Arabidopsis thaliana: one gene and its partners. The protein of the gene in region 2 interacts with the protein of the main gene of each other region in a pairwise test. Each region holds a gene or a part of one and is shown on either strand. Other genes may lie near its edges.

Region 1 (6,572 bases), on a different chromosome or scaffold from region 2:
CGTCTGGAACACCAGGCAAGTCGACACGCACGTAGAGATTGTCGTTCTCCAGAACCTTCACTTGAACGAAACCCTTTGGACCCGCTTTCTGAAACTGATTGTTCGTCGCGTAGAACCCCTCTGTAATAATAATAAGTAAACAAAGATCAAAACTTGATGAAGAAAAGTATACAGAGAACAAAGGAAGACACTTATCAAAGATGGAACTAACTCGATCTGCTTCATTTTCATGAATCATGCACAGTAAAAAAACTGTAAATCTTTGTACCAAGTTCATGTTAACACTTCACAAGTAAACAAATTGAGACAACTTTCTAGAAAAAACACATATTTTCCGAGAAAAATTAGAACAATGTTGTTCTTGGGAAATCTAGTAGCTCGTGAAAAGAGATACCTCGAACTTTAGGAATTCTTGACATGTCCCTGAAATCTGCCTTTGTCTCACCCATCTCTCTCTTTGTTTTTTGCTCTCTCTTCTCTTCTAGTTCAAGGTAGGTTGCGTAAAAATGGCGTTTTGTTCTCCTGTTGATAAATATAGACGAAGCACCATCTTGTGGTACAGACTGTGACGTGGCACGCTCCAGCTGGCTTTTTTTTAACCTTCATAGCATAAGTTTGACTGGTCTTGCCTACGTCACCGACTCTCTCTCTCGGTAAGAAAAAAAACTTGCTTTTACTCTTTTGATTTTTTTTACGGTAGAGAATAAGCTGACGTCACCAGCTCTGTGAGCTATCCCACGCTTTTTTTACTCCTTTCGTTTATATGTAATTATGTACGACAAAAATGACTGCAAAAGTAAAACCGTACCCACACTCTTCACTCTTCATTAATTTTCAAACATTTTTGACAAGACGACGCTGACGTCAGCAATCTTCAAGAGTAAAAAAATTATGAGCTCTCAATTATCTTTTTTTTTTTCATCAAAGATCAAATAAGGTTTCAACCGTCGTTTAGTGTTTATCCAATTATTACGACAACGCTATTAAAAAGTTTGATCCCTACTTACAACAACATATATCTATTAACATGTCCAGGTTACATACTCGTAATCCGGTTTAATAATGGCAAAGATCTATATAGTCTTATCGAATAGCTAGGTTAATGTAAGATTAAATAGAACAAAGAAAGCTGACAACTTTTTCTTTATTGAGATCACGACATATAGAAGCAAGATCGTTCTTAACTAAACCACAAAATGATAAACATAAAGCAGTAGCTGCATCAAAGTTCATAGATAGATAGAGACGCTAGACACAAGTACCATTACGAGACACAAACCAAGGTGTTGTTAAATCAGTAATGGAGGATCCTCTCCTTGACATTAATGGAAGCGTTTTTGCCTGGGATCTTAGGGACGGTGATCCAGAGCACTCCGTTGATAAGCTTCACTTTAGTTTTCTTGACGTCGTAAGCCTCAGGGTTGAAAATCATGGAGCCTCCGTATTTGCGTCCGGCGTTTTCGTACTCAGGCATTGCTGGTTCGTCGGCGAAGAAGTGGACGTTGTTGGCGTCGACCCAGTAGGTGAGATCTGACTCGGGACAACCAGGCATGTCGACTCTCGTCACGCAAGATTTCTTCGTCTCTGTCACCTCGTACACCGCTTGACTCCCACTTTTCTGAAATCGGTTCCTTACTGTACATACATAAGATAAAACAAACACAAATTCGTTATTAGAAAGAGAGATTTGACGTGTAAACTATAAAGGTTTGATTTTTATAAGAAATGACAGTGAAAGATGAAAACTTTACTTGGAGACGGAATTTCGCCGGAACTGCCTGCGTTAACTTCCATGTTCCTACTCATTTGCTCAAAACGATGCTCTTTCTCTTTCTTTTGGAAGGAAACTGAGTGAGCAAAGTCGCTCTACTCCACTTGCTATTTATAGCCGAGGAGGACTATAGGGTTTGGGAAAGGCCTGGAGTGACCTATCATTTGGCCCATTAATCGGCCCAAGGAGTGTTAAAAATTCGAAATTGTTTCTGATTTGGTGAAATTGATCGAAAAGCTCTTCTAGTTGAACTCCATGGAAAGGAGTGATCTTGTAGAGTGTTGACAATTGACATCAATCTGGAGACTTTGACTTCTCTGAACAATTTTTAGCACAACCGGAGTGACCACCTAATATGGGCCTAAGAATCGGCCCATTTAGTTTTGTCGGGGGATGAATTATAAACAATTGACATTTGATGGAAGAAACTAATATTCAATATCAGCTTAGCTTTAGGTAAATTATGCAATGGACCCAATTTGTTTCAATCGGCTTAGAGGAAAAAAAAAGAGTTAAAAGTTTGTGAAAACAAATGACATGAATCATTGGGTACCATAGCAAACACAAGTATGTATATGTTAGTTACTTGTGTATTTGGCCCATACATCGGCCCAATGAGTGTTTGAGCCTTTAAAATTCGAAAACTGCTTTTGATTTGGTGCAGTATATGTTAGTTATTCAGCTTCCATCTAATCTCCTCCATACACATTATAATTTAAGTTGCTCTGAGTTTTATTTGATTCTTACTGAAGATTGGTCCAGAAACTTTCCTAGTACAATGAACTCTTGTTTCAAAACAAAAAAAAACACTGTTTCATTGTGTGGCGATGTAGAATTAGATTGATACAATACAAGTACTTAAGTAAATACTTTGGTTGGTCTACGTTACCTAATAATACAGAGCAGATACAGGGTAATCTCAAGCAAAACATGATACAACTCTAAAGCTTTTGGAAAAACAAGATTAAAAAAAGAAGCTAAGCATTGATGTGGCTTGAAGGAGTTTCAGAGTGTTGTGAGAAGATAGAAGTTCTGCAAGTGGGACAGGAGGAGCGAGTAGAGAGCCATTTGTGGATACACTTAACATGGAAACCATGCTGACATTTCTCCAGCACTTGAATGCTTTCTCCTTGTTCAAATTCCGACAAGCAAATGGCACACTCTGCTTCAGCTCCTGCGAGTTCAAGGTCGGAGGAGTAGACAAGTGTAGGAGTTGTTGGAGTGGATGAAGCAGCTGCTTCAGGGTCAGGCTTGTGGTCGTCTTCAGTCTCGAGGGTTGGTCGGAGAAAGCAACGAATTGCAGCGTAAAGAGAGAGAGCACAAATGAGAGCAGAGATGACAAGGATGAGAAGGACTGATGCATTAGCTGTGAAGTCAGTAGAGTTTGAGTAAGGCTTCCATCTGCAAGTATGAGAGTTACATGTTGGAGTTGCAGCAGAGGACAATGGTGAAGCTGCTTCTGCTACTAGCAAACGCATCTTTTAATGGTTTGAGAGAGAGCCTCGTGAGAAGAGACCTTATAAAGGAGAGGAGTGTAGGGACAATAGTGGCGCTTCCAGTGGAGTCTTGAAGCTGTGAGAGAGTTTGAAGGATTAGGATGGTTTCGTCTCTATTTTGAGGACTGTAACACTCGCTTCTCTCTCTTTTGGTCCACTTCACATTAATGGATATTATTGCGATGGATGAGGGATTGCTTTCTTTGTCCTGTGGCTTATCATCATCCACATGTTTGCCACACGTCGTCCTCACACTACGTTGCCTACATTCTAGGCAAATTGCTCTTTTTTTAATTCGTTTTCATGTTTGAATTTGTCAATATATGGATTTAGATGATAAAAGAGAGAGAAAGACAAGAACAAAATACACTTCATTGTTTCTTTGTCTCTTTTTATATCACTCAAGTTTACATCTTTTTTCTTTAACGATAAAAACAAAAGAAACAAAACCCCAAATTAGAAAAAAGGGTGAAAAGAAAGCTATAACAACAAATCAAAATAGTAAAAAGTAAATAAAAGCTTTAAGCTTTTTGGTACCAATAATTTTTTTTTTTTTAATAAACTTTTTTCCTCTTCTAAAAACTCTCTTCTGCAATCATCTGATCTCCATGGTATAGATTTGTCACTTCTCTAAGCTGCAATTCCTGCAACAACACCATTTTCATATGATATCATCAGATTTTCTACAAATGCTTGAATTCTCGGATAGAAAAAAGGCGTTCATTCATTCATTATTCATACCTCCGTTTGGTTGCCTGTTGATGTATCCAGCTGGTCCTCTAGACATGAAGTCCAATGGTCCCATTCCCAATCCTTCCTCTGCCTTTGCAGGCAGCGAAAGCCACATCGAGTCGCTGTACAGAGAGTCTGCCTCCAAGATGCTTGAGCCGCTGCTGTAACCACCAACATGAACTCCTCTCATTGCTTCTAATCCTACACCTCCTCTCTCACCGTGGTAGCTACTGCGTGCACGTGCAACTGTTCCCCAGTTGTCACCAATGCTGCCTAGTGAAGACATTCCAGAGTTTCCACTGAAGCTGCTTCTTGATATCGGAGAGTTTGACATGTAACCTAGACCACCATTTCCCCATAAATGGTTCTTTGGTGCTGCATTTAGGACAGAACCGTTCCCAACACTAGCTCCTCCCGACTCCATTTGGCTACCGAACCTGCCGAGACTCGCAGCATATCCAGGGCTAAAGGGTCGTCCAAAGCCTCCACTGGAACCAGAACCGTAGTTCTGAGTCTGGTTTGGCTCAAAATTCAGCTCGATTCCGTATCCATGTCCAAACGGTGAGAATCCTCCCCTATTACCTACTGCTGGACTGTACCTAACTTCAGGTTTCACTCCATAACCAGAGATTGGACTCGGGCTGAATCCCTGGGTGTACTCATTCAGTAATGAACTGATTCTACTAGTGCCAAAGCTATTTACATTCATTTGGTTCCGCATTGTGTTGAGAGCCATATCCTTAGGAACAGCCAGTTTGACCTCCACCATCTTACCATTGAGTTCGTGGAATGTCTTCTGCAGTACTTTGTCAACAGCTTCCTCAGAGTCATATGAAATGAACCCAAAGCCTCTAGGCCGCTGGGTTCTGTGGTCATACATCACCACAACATCAGTGATCATCCCAAACTGAGCAAAATACTTTTTGAACTCAGCCTCTGTCACGGATGATGCCAAACCTCCCACAAAGATCTTCTTGGAGTTTGATGGGCCAGGTGATCCCTGAAGGCTGCTGTTACTTTTATTAAATACTACGTGATCATCTCTTGGAACAGCCTTCTTTGCCTCAACCTGTATATCATGGAGAAAATCAACACACGACACAACTCAAAGAAAGCAGTTTTTCATTCATTGTGAACCACTTTCTTTCACATGAGGATATGAAACGATCCAAGTTTTACATTTTTATTTGTGAGTGTGAAATGAACAACTTCTGACAAAGATATGCATTTATCAGAGCGGCAAAGCTGATTGTAAACAATAGAGTCTACTAACTAAAACAGGAAGGAATAAAAGTGAGTAGCTTTGCTTTGCTTTGAGAAGCAGCAACCTCAAAATGAAGCAAGTAAGCAGGAAGATTGTTGAAATTGGAAGCAATGTATGTTGGTATATAGCAGGAGGAAACTTACAATTTTACCATCAATGATATGTTTAAGCAAGACGACTCTTTCAGCAACATTAGGATCAGCAAAGACAACGAAACCAAAGCCACGAGCACGGCCAGTGGCACGATCCTTCATAATAACAGCCTCTAAAACCTCACCAAAACTGTGAAAATAGTCACGAAGACGATCTTCACTGGTTTCCCAAGATATACCACCGATGAAGAGCTTACATGATTCCATTTCCATTTCTGCCAAACAAACAAAAAAAGGTTTGTTTTTGGTTCCAGATTCTATATCGATCTAAGTGAGAAGGAGAATGGAATCGATAGAAACACCTCAAGGGAAGCAAAATAGGATGAAAAAGAGCAGATGGGTCGTGATCGGATTGTGTAAAAACCGATCGACCCACGATCTTGGATTCCTGCAGAAACAAAAAAAAACACAAATGATCAATAAAGGTGTAAGCTTGGAGGAAGGAAGGAATGAAAAACCCAGAAGACAGAGAATCTATGTATGTGTGTAATACCGAAAATAAAGAAACGGAGAAAGAGGAAAAAAAAAAGATTTTAGGATTGAGAAATCTTCAGATTTGGAGAAGGCAAGGTTTTAATAAGAGGGCGAGAGGCCCTCCTCTCTCTTTTCTGCTTATCGTCCAAATTTTTAGTCTTTTCTTTTCTTTTCTTTTTCTGCAATCCAAATCGAATTAAAAGGAACAAAAATGGATGGAAGCAAATAAGCAATGCTCAGCACAAATTTCAGAAAATGGAAAAAAAAACACTCACAAAAAAGAATACTTTCTCTTACGTTTTTGTTTTTATATGGCAATGTTTGGCTATCCTTGTAAGAGACGAGGGTATTTTCGTCACTTCCGTTTCTTCTCTGTAATAAGTAATTAATTTATTAATAACCAATGCGTGCACCTTTTTACCCATAAGTTAAAGAATAAAATCTATCGTTAATAAAAAATGGCTAATTGGCTTAAGTTGATCATGATTTCTTCCTAGTTCTAGATTTTAGTTGATCATCATAACTTTAATTTGAAGAGAGGTCTATGTTTTTTAAATGGTTCGTTAATCAGATGATTATGAAAGATGCAACATGTGACAATTATTTGATTGCATGAAATTTTAAGATTAAAATGAAAATGGCATGAAACTCTAATTAGAGCTTTTGGGGAATCAAAGTGGGCA
Region 2 (7,848 bases):
GAATGTTCTATCCACTTTGATTTCGCTCTCACATATGTAATAATCCCTGTTCTTCTTTCTCTTGCTTTTTCTTTTCTATTTTCACATTCGTTTTGTGTATGTTTGTGTTTACGTATGTTCTCTATTTCGAACGTTTTTTAAAATTATTTCTTCTCTAGTAATTTGTCAACTATATTTTCAAGGTTTAAATATAGTGCATGTAATCTGTCTTGTTTTAGTGGTTTCTAGCTAGGATCATTACTCCTCAGATTTATATAAGTATTACTGTTTTCAGACTTTTATATAAGTAATTTGTTGTTTTCTGACCAAAAAAAAAAGAAGAAGGATTATTGTAGTCAAGAGTGAAAGCATTTTTCATTATATATATATACAGGCCAACGGTTATACAAACATGCAAGAAGAAATCAGTGGAGGGAGTTCAAATTGCTCCTCATTTAGTGCTGTTGATTCAATGTAGTTTGTGGGTTTTGTATGGTCTCCCTGTTGTTCACAAGGACAGTATTCTCGTCACCACTAGTAATAGTATTGGTTTCGTTAACGAAGTAATCTTTGTGGTTGTCTTTTGGATCTGCTGTGAAGACGAATCACGTGTAGGTCCATCTTTTATACTTAGATATGTCTAATTCTGCATATTGATTTTGATGATGTTGATGTTGATGTGCAGAAGAGAAATGTTAATCTATGTCTTCTGGCTGTGTTTGATTTTGTGACATCGTTCTATGTGATTACTATTTGGGCAATTCAAAGTTTATTCGCCAAGTATACACTCATTGGGATTGTTTGCAACATTTTCAACATTTGTATCTATGTTTCATTTGCCAAGGTAAAGCTTTCACTCTCACTCTCACTCTCACTCTCATTGATGGTTAAGTATTAATTAGCGGTTTTGATTAGTTTTTTTTGTTTGTAATTCGTGCAACAATTAGAAAAAAATGCTGGAGAGTAAGACCTTCAAGTACATGCCGTTTTGGCTGTCGTTAGTTAGTTTCATCAACGCTGGACTTTGGACGGCTTATTCTTTGATCTACATAATTGATATCTACCTCCTTGTAAGTTTTTTTTTTCTTTTTTTTTTTTGGCTTGAAAACTTAATGTATTTACTCCCTCTGTTTTATATGATAAGATATTTTAGAAAAACATTTAGATTTCTATGACAAAAATTAAATTCATTCAAATTTGTGACTATGTATATTCTACATTAAATTTCACCATTGGCTAGATTATCTATAATTAAATATTAAGTTATGTTTTTAATGTAAAAAATATAACAAAAAAATTAGTTAGATTCTTGAACTTTGTGCTTTTATCTAAGACATATAATAATATTTTGAAACAGATAGAGTGATTAATTTTCATTGATTGAATTTCATTTATAACATCTATTTGTTTGTTTTGTGTTATGGAACAGATAAGCAGCGGTTGTTCTGTGCTTTTCAATTAATAGTCCACGCTTGTTCTCTCTGTAAGAGCCAGAAAATTACTCCATCGGAGTCATAATTTGTTTTTACTGAAATTCTAATTTTAAAGCTCTACGATCTAAAATAAAAGAAATAACGAAAAAGAAGAAGCCAAACCGTTTTTACTTTTTTAGGATATGGACAAACAAGTATTAAGATATTTAAGATAATTTATATTAATGGACTTCATTATATATAACATACTTACTTAAAATAAATTTAATTGGGTTCAATACCATAAAAATTTTACAGGTGTCAATTGTCTTAGTGGACAAGAGTCAACTTTTATATATAGAAGTCTAACTAATTTTGCAAAAAGTCAATTGACCCACGTAATAGATTTAGAGACTTATAGAGTTTCGATTTAATTATACCTAACAAAAAAAAAGGCTTAATGGGTTAAACGCATTGCAGATTATATTTTTATTGAATATAAATAATGGTTTAATTTTAAATGTACATAGATGTTTATGATTAATTATACCCAGAAATAATACTATTTAAAAAAAAAATATGACACGTAAGATTATTACTATAATACATAGAAGTTAATATTTTTTTAATATGTGTTTATTATTTGTCAAACTACTATTATTGTTTGTTGGGTGGAAATAAACTATTTTGGTAAAGAAGAAATTTTGTTTATTAACTTGGTAAAGTTCTCCTTGTAATTCAAACTACCATTTAATAAGAGGTCTAATAGTAAGATAATACTAATAATAGTTAAATATCTATGAATATTGATTAAATACATGGAAAATATTCAATGCTCTCATAAGGTAATGCAAGATTTTCAAAGTGGAGTTACTAAATATGTATATATATGCAAAAACAAAAGTTTACTAAAAATATACATATATGATGATGAGGTTCAATAACAACTTTCTCCACATTCATTACTATAAATACATAAAGAAATACAATCTTCTTCTTATATACACAAACATAGATTACAATCACTCAAAACATTTCACACAAAAAAAAAGAAATGGGTAGGAGAAAGATTAAGATGGAGAAAGTGCAAGACACAAACACGAAGCAAGTTACCTTCTCAAAACGTAGGCTGGGTTTGTTCAAGAAAGCGAGCGAGCTTGCGACTCTGTGCAACGCGGAGGTTGGTATTGTTGTCTTTTCTCCAGGAAACAAACCGTATTCCTTCGGGAAACCGAATTTTGATGTGATTGCAGAACGGTTTAAGAATGAATTCGAAGAAGAAGAAGAAGGAGATAGCTGTGAAACATCAGGCTATAGTAGAGGCAATAGAGCTAGACAGGAGAAGAAGATATGTAAACGCCTCAACTCGATTACTGAAGAAGCTGAAGCTGAGAAGAAACATGGTGAAGATCTTCACAAGTGGCTTGAATCTGCTGAACAGGATAAGTTCAATAAGCCCATTGAGGAGCTTACGCTTGAGGAACTCAAGGAATTTGAGGCTAAGATTAAGAAAATAAGCTGTGGGATCCAAAGTAACATTAGTCATATGCAGGCTTCGTCTTCTCTCATGTTTCTCTCTAATGATAATTAGCAGTTATGCAAATGAGAAGGCAACAGTAACAACACCGATTTGGAACTTTCATTTTGTATTAGTCGTTATAGATTTATATGGTAGAGATGTAGCAGATGGTTGGTACAGGTTTATTGATTGTATCTTCCTCTTGATGATCGATGGTTTGTAACTTTCGGTTGCCAAATATTACTATGAAGATTTTCTCTTTTCAAAAACAATGAATTATAACAATATCTCCTACTCTACAAAATTGATAATGATTACGATATGAAATTTTAAAGCGTTATTTGTTTTTTTTTCTCTTATATTATTATAGATTTTGTCTACACACTCTAGATATTTATCTTTAATTAGAAAAAAATACATAAGAGTACACCAACTAATTAACATATTTATAAATGTGTTTTTAACATTTTTAAGTTTTAGTCAAAATAGTATCAAAATACATAATTTGATGTATGTCCTATATATCTTATTCCAAATTATTAAATATTACCTAAAACAAAAATACAGTATTTTTGTAATTGTATTCTATGAATAATTTAAGAATTCCTTAAGAATTGTTTAAGAATTATTTTAGAGTTTTTAAAAGAAATCTTGTAGAGATTTTTAAGAATTCTTAAAGGATTTGTTTCTGGTTTTTCAGATTGTTCTCCATATCTTCTCATATAAATTTTAAAAGACCTCTCTTTTTCTCTAATAGTTTTATGGTACTTAACGGGTATAATACAGAAGTTTTTCTATCATAACAGGATAAAATTCTCTAAAATCAGTTCATGTATTTGCTCAAGTATCAGAAGCATAATTAAACAAAGATTCTATTTCCTCGAGAAAAATCAAATAAAATTACAAAACAACAAGAAACTGTAAAATAGAAAGAAAGAAAAAACCTCAAAAGAGGATTTATACAAAAGAGCGAGTATGAAGAAGGATTTGGCGTGAGCCTCATTTACAGAGGAAGCAAGGAAGAGAAATTTTCATTTCATGTCTCTAGTTTCAGTACAACACCAGTGATCCCTATTGGCGATTTCGGTTGGAAATGCTCATCCGTATCCACTTCTTCGATCTCCTGTAATAATATGATTTAATCTTTTAACACATGAAACTATTAAACAAACCATTCAAGCTGATAGACTGTGCTTAGTTGGATCAAACCTGTACTACATCCTCTCCCTTAAGGACTCTTCCAAACACTATAAGTTGATCATTCAGATCCGGGATTGGGGCCGTTGTGATCAGAAGCTCAAAATCCTTGTTGTTCCCTTTGTTTTTTGGTGTTCCCAACATGAATGCCTCATGTTTTGGGCTGTAACAGAACATATGTAGTTTTTTATTTTTTAAAACCAGCGAGAGATGATAAACATTGACACTTAAAAGCCAAAAGCAGAGCAAGCAAGTTATACCCAATGTGAAGGCGACCTCTGAGCTTTCCTTTAGCTGTCCATTCTTCTACAGGTATAGAGCTCGGTGAGTGACCAGCTTGTACCAAGTAGTTCTTTATAACCCGCTGAAACGGCATTCCCTTGAAGTGATCTTTTTGACTGCAACAATACTCAATGTTCAACTTCTACTATTATATTAAGCTACAATATCGTCACAGACTGATTCAGCCCATTTCTCTTTAATGAGGTTTCATGTTCCAAACAAAAATTCCAAGAAGAGTACAAGAGGACTTAAGGATCAAAATCAGTCAATCAAGAAACTAAAGCTACTTGAATCCTATCAAGCTAGAAGTAATACTCCTATTTAAGAACAAGTCATGACCTAGCTTAATCAAATTACTCTACTGTTCTTTTTCTATCTAACTTAAAGGAAAACAAACGAATTCCAATACTAACCATAGATCTAGAAACTTGTCCACAACTTCAGGGGAACCTTCTTTGAAGAGTTCGACAGTTATAAGTCCTTTTGATGTGTTTATATCCTACATGAGATAGGAAAATAGAAGCAAGATATCATTAAAATCAATATTCAGATAAGACACATCACATTTTTTTTACTTCAAAAACTGATGAACAGAACATAATACCATGATGAGAAATAAGAACAAGGATTAAAACAAGAAACTTAAGCAAGCAAACAGGGAGATTAACTTACAGCAAAACCAGGAAGATCGTAAGTTTTTTGCCCTGACGCAGTATTAGTGTCCTGAAGCAGAAACCAAAGCCAGATCACATATGGTAAATACCCTAAACTCTAAACCTAAGTGCTCGGAAGTTCATCAGGATCAAAACTCAAAAGCTATACATTAAAAAATCTCTCAAGAAAATACCTCAAATCTCTGACTCCGAGTTTCATGTTCAATTGTGTTTCTTGACCTAGGAGATATAACCAATGATATCCTTTTTAGTTTATAGATAATCACATAAAGTAAAAGGAGAATCTACTATAACAGAAGTAATGAAAAAGGAACAATTCAAAGATGAAAACAAACCTTTGGGACCAATGGCGATAGGTTGTGACCAACGATAATATGACTACAGCAACTACAAGATTACAGACAATAATAGTGGAAATACTTATGCGACTTGGACCCTTCTTCTTCTTGCTTTGATTTAGAAGAGCCTGCGGTTTTATCTTCGCCATTGCACCTTAGTTTCGCAGAAAGCAAACGAGGGATACAACTTGTCTCTGCAAACCATAAATCAACAGTAAGTGACAAGCAATCCAGAAAACAAGTATACACTACACAAAAACTCCAAATTCGTATCTGTAAGACTATAATTCAATTTCAAGTTGGTAAAATCAAAACTGCAATAAGATTAAGTTGTTACCCAACTGAAGAAACCCTGATATCACGTATTGACCAGATTAAAAATCTAGCATATTTGAATGAATAAACGCATGTGAAAATATCACAAGGGTTCATACATAGCTTGACCGGTAACTTCCGATACACCAGATCCAGTACTTTTCCAATTATCGATCAAATTGAAATAAATTGAACAAAAGTGGATATGAGAAACGGAGCAGCTTATCATGTTCCAATCAAATAATAAACAGATCTTTCTTTCTATAGAAATCCAAAGACCTGAAAGTAAAATCAAATGAATTCCAAGGACTTTGATTGCTTCATTGGGTTCTCGAAAAACGTACCTGGAAGTTAGAGAGAAGAGAGGAATCGTGGAGATTGGTCGTTGCGTCGATGGAAACTGGTTTGAATTCTCTGCTCTCTTTTCTCTTTTGCAGAGACGCTTCAGATCAGCCGCGTGTTTATCCGACGGCTACGAGTCCACCTCACCAATATCCGACGAATATTATTCCACAAACAAAAATACAAAAGTTGATCATTTTTGAAAAATCGTATAGTTCGGTCTGGTTTTCTCATGAAATTATCTGGTTATCTATTTGACCCAAGAAAATGATTCTAAATTCAAAAGAAAGTAATTTTACTATGGTCTAGTGGTTATCACGTTAATCATACGGTTTCCGCCCTAATTGTCACTGGTTTGATCCTTCGCTGCATCATTTGATTTTGCATTACACATACTAAACTGTAAATATAAATAAGCATTGGTAAAAAAGTCAAATTTTCTACGTAAACACTTACAAAAGGGAAAAAAAAAATGCACAAGCAAGATCACTTAAAAAAACCCAGGTCACAGTCAATTGTTCGGTTTTGTGATTTTCTTAGCCACTTTTTAATTGATCGGTTTAGATATAGCCTACCATCAATAAACCGTTATTGTGTTAACCTGAAACAAGCCATCCAATATGATCTTTTTAACTTGCACACCATCTCCTCTTTCTAACTGGCCTCTGTTGATTAGTAACATCGGCTTTAGCTCTCAGTTCAGTTTGAGATTTGAATGTCGCTTCTACCGCCAATTTGGTTCCCTTGAACCTCTCCCTCCGTTTCTCCATCTTTTTCAGACTCTCTTGTATACGTTCATTGTCTATTTCAACACCTTTCACTTCTTCTATTATCTCGCCTTCTTCTTTGTCATTTATATCTCGATTCTGCATAGCTTTCTCTTCGCTTTTGCCCATTAACTTTCTTGGTTTCTGAACATCTTGTTGCTCGATTGTATCTCCGCCATTGGAGAATCTTTTTTTTGATTGGTTAGAGACCTGAAACACACACACAAAATATCTATCACATGAGAAGGGTCTTGTTCTTCATTGTACACTAACTGATGTCTAAATATACGGATGTGAGCAACATAAAACCTAAGTATAGAAGACAGACCATATAAAGTGATAAAACAGTCAGAAATAACACAAAGAAAATCCAGGGATATAAATAACTGAAAGGCGTTTATACTTCATTCAAATATAGGTTTAAAAGCATGTAGATTTAGTTTCCCAATCTTTACCTTTCCTTGCCTACCAGCTAAGTCAACATGATCCTGACGCTTGATGAAAGCATGCCCATCTCCTCTCAGCTTCTTGGATCTGTGATGTCTTTCATCATTTTCATGAATATGGCTCTGTAAATATCCAAACCTTTGTTTGGTCGCCATCCGATTATGTGTCGGTACTCTTATGTCGCGGACAAATATCTCATCAGTATATGATGGATGCTCAGAATTAGAAACTTCTCTCATTGAACATTGCATGTCATCTGCCATATTATATCTTCCTCTATCAGGACCAACCCAATCAGCATCATACTGTAGTCTATCTTTTACGCTCACATTATGGCTACGACCAAGATTCTGCGTCCAGCCATCTCTCGGTGCAGCCTTATGAAAATGGTTATTCTGGCTGTCATATGCTTCAGGTGTTCTGAAGTCTCTGGTATCATCTCTCCGGAAATCACCTTTTGCTTCTTTGGTATACCAAGAATCTCTCAAAGATAAAGACGGTGAGGACCAACCATCTTGGATTCTATACTTATAACCATCTTCCTCTGAGACAAATCTATCAAGATGCCAATCATGA
Region 3 (8,263 bases), on a different chromosome or scaffold from region 2:
TGCACTTCGTGATGGAAGTGCCCTTATGCAGCACATGGAGGATTTCTATTACATCACATTGTTAGAGGTAGGTACTTTGTTGTTGCCACTTAAGCAATTGCTGATTATTGATAAGTTGTCATAACACAACGTATAACTCCATGCATTTTTCCTTTTTGTTTTCAAGAATTACACTGTGACTTAAAGTTAGAAAGATTCAGTCCCTCACAGGATAGTGACATTTAAACATCGCCAACCCTTTTTTGGATGGAGCATGTGTTGGTTTGAGACTGCTAGTAATTTCCATATCTCATTGGCATCATTTTTTGTTGTCAATCTTTTCAGAGTGTGAAGTTATATTACAAAACTGTTGAAGATCCGAAAGGCGTTGAAAGTACTACTATCCAATCAGTGGGAGAGAGCTAAGTGAGAGCATGTAGTGGCTCGCTTCAGCTGTATAGGATTCACACTGTATACTATATACAAGAGACAAGCATCCATTGTAATTATTTTATAGTGATCTGTGGTTCAGTCGTGTAAACTTAAACGTAGACATGGTATCAAAAGGGGACAAGATGGTTGGAATTTATCACAATGCGTATAGATGAAATTTGAACATTATACTCTCACTGCATGCTCAGGGAGACCTTGCAGGGAATGTTATTTTTGGCTAACAGGGACCGTTACACCTCGGACCTCGCCTCTCGGTTGGCTAGTTTCAGCATTATTTGCATCTGTGAGCTTTTCAGGAGAACAGCTGCGGGAGAAGTAAGTTATCTCAATCCTTAAGCTTTCGTTTGTTTTGGAACCTTTGCACGCAGTTCTTATTTTTACGTACTAAGTTTCTACATAATCTTAGATCAATTTGGAGACAACAATCTTAATCCCTGATCATTCACCGTTTTTCTTTTCCATTAGATTTTCTTGATGCTGGATATGTTACTTGTGAAGTATATACAACTTTCTTTAGCGTCATGAGATAGGAAAGAAATGGCTTATTATTGCTTGAAGCTTACTGAGTCTACTTATACAGCAATCCTTGTGGAAAAGTAACTTCAAATGACTAAAACAGTTATTTACACCCGATGAATTTTGTTTTGAATACTGTCAGGTTTCTGGTAGTAGATGATAGTGCCTTGTTCTTCCCGCTGCTACCGCCGAGGATACGCAGACTCTGTCTCAGTAAGTCAATCTCTCTTTCCTTCCCATTTTGTTGTTTCTCCATCAAATTTATTCTCCCTTTCAGTGTCTCAATGGTTTCTCCCCTAGCTTTAACTTCCTTTCTGAGTTCTTGCACTGCCTTTGCAACTTCTTCTTGCGGTTTCTGTCTCAGTGCCTCTCCTACAAAAGAAAAAAAAAACTCATTACCTTCCTTTCTCAAAACATCAAAGATGAGATTATTTGTGAAAGGTCTTACCATATGTTGTGTGGATGAGATCATCAAGCTCATTCTTGATAGCAAAGTAGAGCTGCTTCCACCTCTCCACAGCTTCTTCCCTCACTGCTCTCTCTAAACACATCTGTTCCACGACCCATTCCCACTCGTGTTGTTTCGCCTTTCCTTCTTCCTTCTCTTCCATCTTCTGTCTCAGCCTCTTCACTTCCTCTCTCAGTCTCTTCCTCTCTTTCCTCCACTCTGTCTCTGCCATCTTCAACGCCAAAATCACTCTCTCTTTCTCATCAAGCTCTCTTCTTGTTTCTCTCCTTCTCTGTTCATTTGCTTTCACCTTGATGCGTCTCTTACTACTGTTTCTCTCATCCTTGCTTGTAGAACCACCCATGAAGAAAAGCTCTCTTTCTCTCTCTATCTCTGTAGAACTTTTGTTCTATTTTGAATGTCTTGTTTGTTTCATTCAATGAAAAAAAAAAATGATTATTGTGAGTGAAGAAAGCTCCACTTTGCGGCATTGCAGACACATGTTATTTATATAATATGGTCCAAACCAAAAGCATCTTCACTTATCCTAAACACACAATAGGAAAATTATGGAATGTCTTATCACAAAACTAATCACACAAACACACATTGTGGCTTGAGTTGATTATTTCTTATGGAAACTGAGATAAAAAGACAAAAGAAGTTATGGGCACTCTCAGGACATAGTACTGAATAGGAAACAAGAGAAAAAGGAATTGAAGTGGTGTTACAGAATATGAAAAGCAGTGTTTTTTCTTCAATCTCCAATTAATGGTGTGGGCTTTGATTGTTTGTCACATGCATCATTAACATGGACCCATACCTATTTACTCCTATTTTTTCTTCCCAATATTTGTAGGTTTTATAGGTTTCTCTCAAACTTTTGGTCTAATTTGTCTTCTTCTCATGGAGGAAATTGTTACATAGGTCTTAAGTTATTGTCTGTGTTTTTATAGACCGAATCAAACATAGCAAACCAAAATTTGAGTATGTTACGTGAAGACAATGGGTAGATTTATCTTGAAGTTCGAATTTTGGTTTGCTTTATTTCCGTTAAACGTCAATAGTTAAACTTCATGAGTATGCTTTAGCTTTGGATCCTTAGTTCCTTACAATACTCACTTGTGATTTAAGTATGATAAGTGAGTATACCAAACTTTGGTGGTACAATGGTCAACGAATAATAGAGTGAAAGAAGACAAAGAAACAAGAAGAAGAGACATATATCTAATCACAATTGACATCGTAGAGTTTAGGATAGCTATAAAGTGAAAGATAGACTCCTACATGGCTACATCAATCAGAAACATTGCCCTCTTCACGTGAACTTCCCTGTTAATTTGGGTTTTTGTCTTAACCCTTTTCATATCTTAAAGAGTCGTACTTTCTAAATAAACAACCAAAATTCCGTTATTGGCTTTTGTCTTTGTACAATCTCTTTACGACACTGCCTACTAAGACCAGCTCAGAAGCTTATCAAGGTTAGATTCTGACCGCAACCTTCCAAAACTGCACTATGATTCTGATCCAATTTGTATTCCACCAAGCAAGTAACAATATATACACACACAGTACAAACTTACAAGCATCTTTTTGTATGTTTTTGTAACATTTTTAATACAATCATATGATACATGCACCAACCACATCAAATCATATAATCTCACATATATGCATTATTATGCCCTCAAATTCACTTAATTTTCACCTTAAACTCATCATGGACCACTGGTTCATACCCACTGATGACGGAAGTGCTGGCCGGATTATGGGCACACGTTTCACTACCGAGATTGCTTCGTTCCACCGAGCAGCATGATTCGCCACCTTCTGAAAAAAGTATTTCATTCAAAAGACAGACAATACAAGAATCAGATGGTGTAAAAATCTTCCGAATTGTGTTCTGAAATACTTAGAACTTTTGTTCTTCATTGCCATGAGTGAAAAAGATGAATACAAGTCAAGCAAGAACGTGAATTTCAGCAGCAAAAGACATATTTGATCCGCCAAGTTATATGCAACCGTAAGCAGGATTCAAACTTGGGTCCTTACTGAGGCTTTGTACCAGTGGAAGATCAGTTAAACTAAACTTTCAGGTTTTACCACTACTTTTATCCATTCCTCAAAGAAACATTTTACGATAAGATTCGTAATATATAGTAACTTCCATCTCTGGCTACCAACATGAAAAATCTACAAAGAATAACTACTGAAAACTAGTCTAAAGATCTTTCAACTATCCTTTAGCTATTAGAAAGAACATGCAAACTCAAAATGTAAAAATAAAAAATATGTTGTTTAAGCATTATAGGAGATGAAACAACAGAGAGGACGGACAAAGAAATAGATCACCCAGGTGGTATTCTAACGACTATTAACACTGCTCTCACCAACTACACATTCTATGCCAAAAGTATCTATCAAGAACTCAACCGATGCAGTGGTGCTATATCAAAAACCCTTAGCAAGATAGTGTAAATGGGTACGAGTGTATGCCTGTTGGTGAATACTATGACCTCGAGTCGCTGGTTGCATCTAAACTACTTAGCAACAAGAAACTGGTCCCAGGACAAACAAGGGGATGATCTGATCTTCTCATTTTCCCCATCAAAACAACAATTGACACTAATAAAACATCTAACTAAGCAGTAAAAGTTGAACTAAGCAGAGCTCATATCACACCAAAAGATCATACAGTAACCACATGACTCATGAATCAACATACTCAAAGAACAATAAACAATCAAATAAACCAAGCTAGTTACCTTATCATCCAAAAGAACCTTAAGCTGCAAGGAACGAGTCTTCTTCTTCATATTGTACAATCTACGCCCTAACATAACAAAACCCACAAATGCTGCAGCCATGGACAAAGACCAAATAGGATTAATTTTCAACACACAATACTTCAACACCTCTATTGGAATTTTCCACCACACAAACCCTTTCTCTTCTCCTCCTCCACCACCAGATTTAACACCAGGATCAATAGAAACAGAGTTTCCTTCTCCTTCCACTGGATGAAGTAAAGATTCTTCCTTTCTCTCATCAGAGCTTATCAAATCCATGTCTTGAGCTATACTTTCACTATATTCAACAATACCCACTTCGTTTCTCTCTATACCCATCTCGTTATTCACATCATCATCCACTAACCTCTGATCATCAAGCCGATCACTGCTTGAATCAGACCATAACTCACTAAAATGCTTCGGACCATAAGGAACATCGGAGCTAGGTTCGATCCATCCTGGACTACCCGATTGAACAGACCCATCTTCATCGTTTGCCTCCAAACGAGACAAACCACTCTGGTTCTCAAGAGAGAAATGATCAAACCTAATCATACCTTGCGTGCCATCATCAATCTCCTCCAAGCTCCTCGAATTGTCATCTTCCGTGGTAGATCTCGAGCTCTGAAGTATTTCCCAGTCTTGAATCTCTCCTTCCATGTCAAAGTTAGGGGTTTTTTCGATCCAATTGAGGAAAAGAAACAAAAGGAGTCTTTGTGTTGGGGCGAAAACAGAACCGAAACGCTTCTTTCTCTGTGTGGAGATCACAGAAACACTAGGTCGTGGTGTTAACGTGGCGTGGTGTGATTGGATAGAGGATGAAGTCAAAAGAGTGGTTTCGTTGACGTGTGGGTTTATGATAACTATATGGATTGACAGTGTATGTTGTTACGGTGGGCCGAGAAGTAGAGGACCTTCAACCGCTTTTGCTAATCAGATATGCTCAACTTGAAACTGGAGGGAGAGGAAGCAAACACGTCATATAAATGCATTTTGTGAAGAACATCATAATTTATTGATACCGAACCAAATCCAATAGAATGTATTTTTACTTTTTACTATTTTACTTTTCGTTTTTTTACTTGTTTTTTCTCGTTCAAATTAGGTGATCGATGAATTGATAATTTAATTGTAATCCGCGTAATTCATATTCCTTCGGTTCTATTTTGTTGATTTTGAAGAAAAAAAAAATTGTTTCAAAAAAATTGATTTTTTAAAATTTTTATGTAATATTTATTAGTTTTTATTAATGAATTGTAAACTTTAATAAAAATAATTAAATTTTATTGGTTTAAAGTGATAGAAAATTGTAAAACACAAAATATAATATATTTAAAATCAACTTTAATATATTTACTTTTGTGTGTTTTTTTCTAACAATCAAACAAAAAAAACAGAGAAAATATTTATTTATTTTTGCTAAGAAACATAGGAAATATTTAATATTAATCGAAACCCAACTTTTTTTTCAATAAATGTTTAGCGTTAATATCATAGTTTAACAAACATTCTTTTTTATAACTCAAAATTTTAGAGTTTAGTCATTAAACCAAGATGTGGAGATTTTATAAAGGTTGAGGTAGGGAGGAGAAGAAAGTTAAGAGGCTCATGGATGGTGGCTTGCAGAGATTTGGGAGTTTTTGAGAGAGTTGATGACGTGGCAACTTGAGAACACATTTGTTAAAAGGCTGAGGTGGGTAGTGTGAGAGGCCTCAAATAACTTTTTTTTTATTAGTAAGAGATTCTGAAAAGAGGTTACCGATATCTAATGAATTGCTATCGAATGTTGAAATCTCATGAAATTTGGCTACACTACATACATACGACTATAAGGCAAGTAACAAAGACTGCTAGGGACTGACAAAGTGACAAGTGACATCTTTATGCTTAGCCTCCTTTTCCTTTCTACCATAGTTGAACATCAAGCACATTATTTCCATCTCAAAACCGGCCCAGAGAATATAATATGACACGATGCAACAACAGAACTTGGCCAGGGGAATTATACACCCCCTCCTACATACCACAAGACAGGAATTATACACCCCCTCCCACATACCACAATACAACACACATTCAGAGACCACGAGATGGTGAATTTACAAGAAATCAACATGGAACAAGATACCATATCCATATAAATCATTGACTGATGTATCTGAGTTACATGGAAGATACAAGAGACTATTTCTCTTAGGCCATTAAATTGTTGGTAGGAATATGTGCTTCAGTATGAGTTCCCTAGTTCACTTAATCACTAGTGGAAAGTTACAGCTTACATGAGGATTTCATCTCTCACCGGGAAGTTTCTCTAGACCCGGTGAGTCACATGAATATCAACACAATGAAACACATCAACACATATTTCAGAGACCTCAGATGTTGAAATTACAAGCAATCACAATGGAATATGGTACCAAATGAATCAATTAGTTTCTATCTTAAGCCAATATCAATAACTTTCACATTCTTCACATACAAATTCACAACATTCTTCACATACAAAGACTCTAATTTTCAGTTACTAAAATACCAAAACACTAAAGAAAATTAGGTTTCAATCTCCAAAAAACATCATCATCTCCAGAACCAAGGAAAAAAAAAACATTCTAAATTTGAGCCAAAAAAAACAATCAGACAAAGCACAATAACACACAAATCAAATGTTTTAGTAATCCAAATGAAGAAAAACATTGTTACATACCACAAACATAAAAATCCCAGAACTTATTACACACTTACTACATAGGTTTCTCCACAAATTACATCAAGTTTAGGAAAAAAAACTGAAATCTTAAAGAGGAAACTTAACCGGATTTAGTTGATATCGGTGTCATCGAAATCATCATCGAATTTGTTGAAGAAATCGGCGTCGGCGAGCTTGTTATCTGAGACAAGTCCTCCTTCGTTGAGTATCTCCATGGCTTCGAGGTCATCAACGTCCATGGCCATCGAAGAACCTGCATCATCCATCTCCGATAACATATCCAGCTGCATCGGCCTCATTTCTCTCTTCGTCTCTTCTTCGTTTTCTTCTTCGGGAAAGATCTAAAATGTTACAGTGACTGACTGTCGAAGTTTTGATGTTGAGGTCATTTTCTTTTAGGCCTAAATGTTGTGGCCCATCTTTATCTTCTTAGGCCCAATTGATGTGGCCCATGTTAATTTTAATCGTTCATTTTTCGTAGTGATTTTTAGCTGAATCTGTGGATTTTTTTTTTTTTTTTTAAGATACATCAGTTGAGGAATTGGCTGAAAAGTGGAACTAGAGGAATTTTTAGAATTTTTTTTTATTAATACCATGTTTATATCCTCTATTAAACAAATTTGATTAATGCAATTTTAAAAGCTACAAAAAAAAACTCAAATTATTTATATATAATTCTGTTGTCTGTAAAATTATAAAATAATATCAAGATAGAATAGTTTTCTAGTTGACGAAAAAAAATTAGGTTTCTAGTTAATAAAAATTAGAAAAAACTATCAAAGTTAAAATGTAAAATCAAAGTAATAGTTTTTTACTATTAAATTTTCATTAGTTAGGTCAAAATCAAATTTAGGATTGGGTGATTTAATCCCAGTTAATTCTGACTACAAAATGGTTAATTAATATATATAATTCAGTAGTTGATATGTTTCTGCATACATTGAAATAAATTAAACTATCACAATCGAAAGTCGTAAAATACGATTGATGGATGCGATTATTCTCTCTCGTTAATCACGAAGATAAATCTATTTGTTTCACTTTTACGGAAAGGGCAACGAGTTAATTTGTACATGGTTGTGTTAGTCATATTTAATATGGGCTGGTTTTACTCTTTTTGTTTGCCAATGAGCTAGTTTTCCATTTGTTACAAATTTTTTTTTTTTTTTTCTGCTAAGAATGTAAATATTTCATTGAAAAATGAAAAAGGTTTAGGAGATACAATTAAGTAAATCCTACAATTTTGGTCTCATGGCAAAAAAAGGATAAAAAACATGGAAGCAAAGAACAATCAGTCCATCGACATCAACAAAAGAAATTACTCTTTTGGAATCAATGAAGTGATAAACCGATTCTAAATATTAACTT

What was found.
Region 1: the proteins of AT3G66654 (region 2) and AT5G47610 interact in a protein complementation assay, tested with the Arabidopsis thaliana proteins (one large-scale study listed by BioGRID).
Region 3: the proteins of AT3G66654 (region 2) and AT4G13530 interact in a protein complementation assay, tested with the Arabidopsis thaliana proteins (one large-scale study listed by BioGRID).

Annotation. Positions count from the first base shown.
Region 1 is NC_003076.8:19,298,651-19,305,222, forward strand, and holds AT5G47610 (RING/U-box superfamily protein), read right to left. Parts: upstream 3,468-6,572; 5' UTR 3,250-3,467; coding exon 2,749-3,249; 3' UTR 2,480-2,748; downstream 1-2,479. Other genes in the region: AT5G47590 (Heat shock protein HSP20/alpha crystallin family), read right to left, coding at 1-120, 395-449; AT5G47600 (HSP20-like chaperones superfamily protein), read right to left, coding at 1,295-1,635, 1,752-1,806; AT5G47620 (RNA-binding (RRM/RBD/RNP motifs) family protein), read right to left, coding at 3,898-3,911, 4,009-5,068, 5,206-5,271, 5,407-5,628.
Region 2 is NC_003074.8:2,086,396-2,094,243, reverse strand, and holds AT3G66654 (Cyclophilin-like peptidyl-prolyl cis-trans isomerase family protein), read right to left. Parts: upstream 6,329-7,848; 5' UTR 6,061-6,328; exon of another isoform or gene 5,596-6,060; 5' UTR 5,551-5,595; coding exon 5,399-5,550; intron 5,283-5,398; coding exon 5,237-5,282; intron 5,113-5,236; coding exon 5,062-5,112; intron 4,889-5,061; coding exon 4,803-4,888; intron 4,506-4,802; coding exon 4,368-4,505; intron 4,271-4,367; coding exon 4,120-4,270; intron 4,034-4,119; coding exon 3,947-4,033; 3' UTR 3,703-3,946; downstream 1-3,702. Other genes in the region: AGL91 (AGAMOUS-like 91), read left to right, coding at 2,446-2,982; AT3G66652 (fip1 motif-containing protein), read right to left, coding at 6,688-7,035, 7,281-7,848. UniProt on the Arabidopsis thaliana protein: PPIases accelerate the folding of proteins. It catalyzes the cis-trans isomerization of proline imidic peptide bonds in oligopeptides.
Region 3 is NC_003075.7:7,863,393-7,871,655, reverse strand, and holds AT4G13530 (uncharacterized protein), read right to left. Parts: upstream 5,329-8,263; 5' UTR 4,849-5,328; coding exon 4,162-4,848; intron 3,227-4,161; coding exon 3,101-3,226; 3' UTR 2,480-3,100; downstream 1-2,479. Other genes in the region: AT4G13550 (putative triglyceride lipase), read left to right, coding at 1-67, 325-405; AT4G13540 (golgin family A protein), read right to left, coding at 1,052-1,320, 1,397-1,760; SMAP1 (small acidic protein 1), read right to left, coding at 7,006-7,194.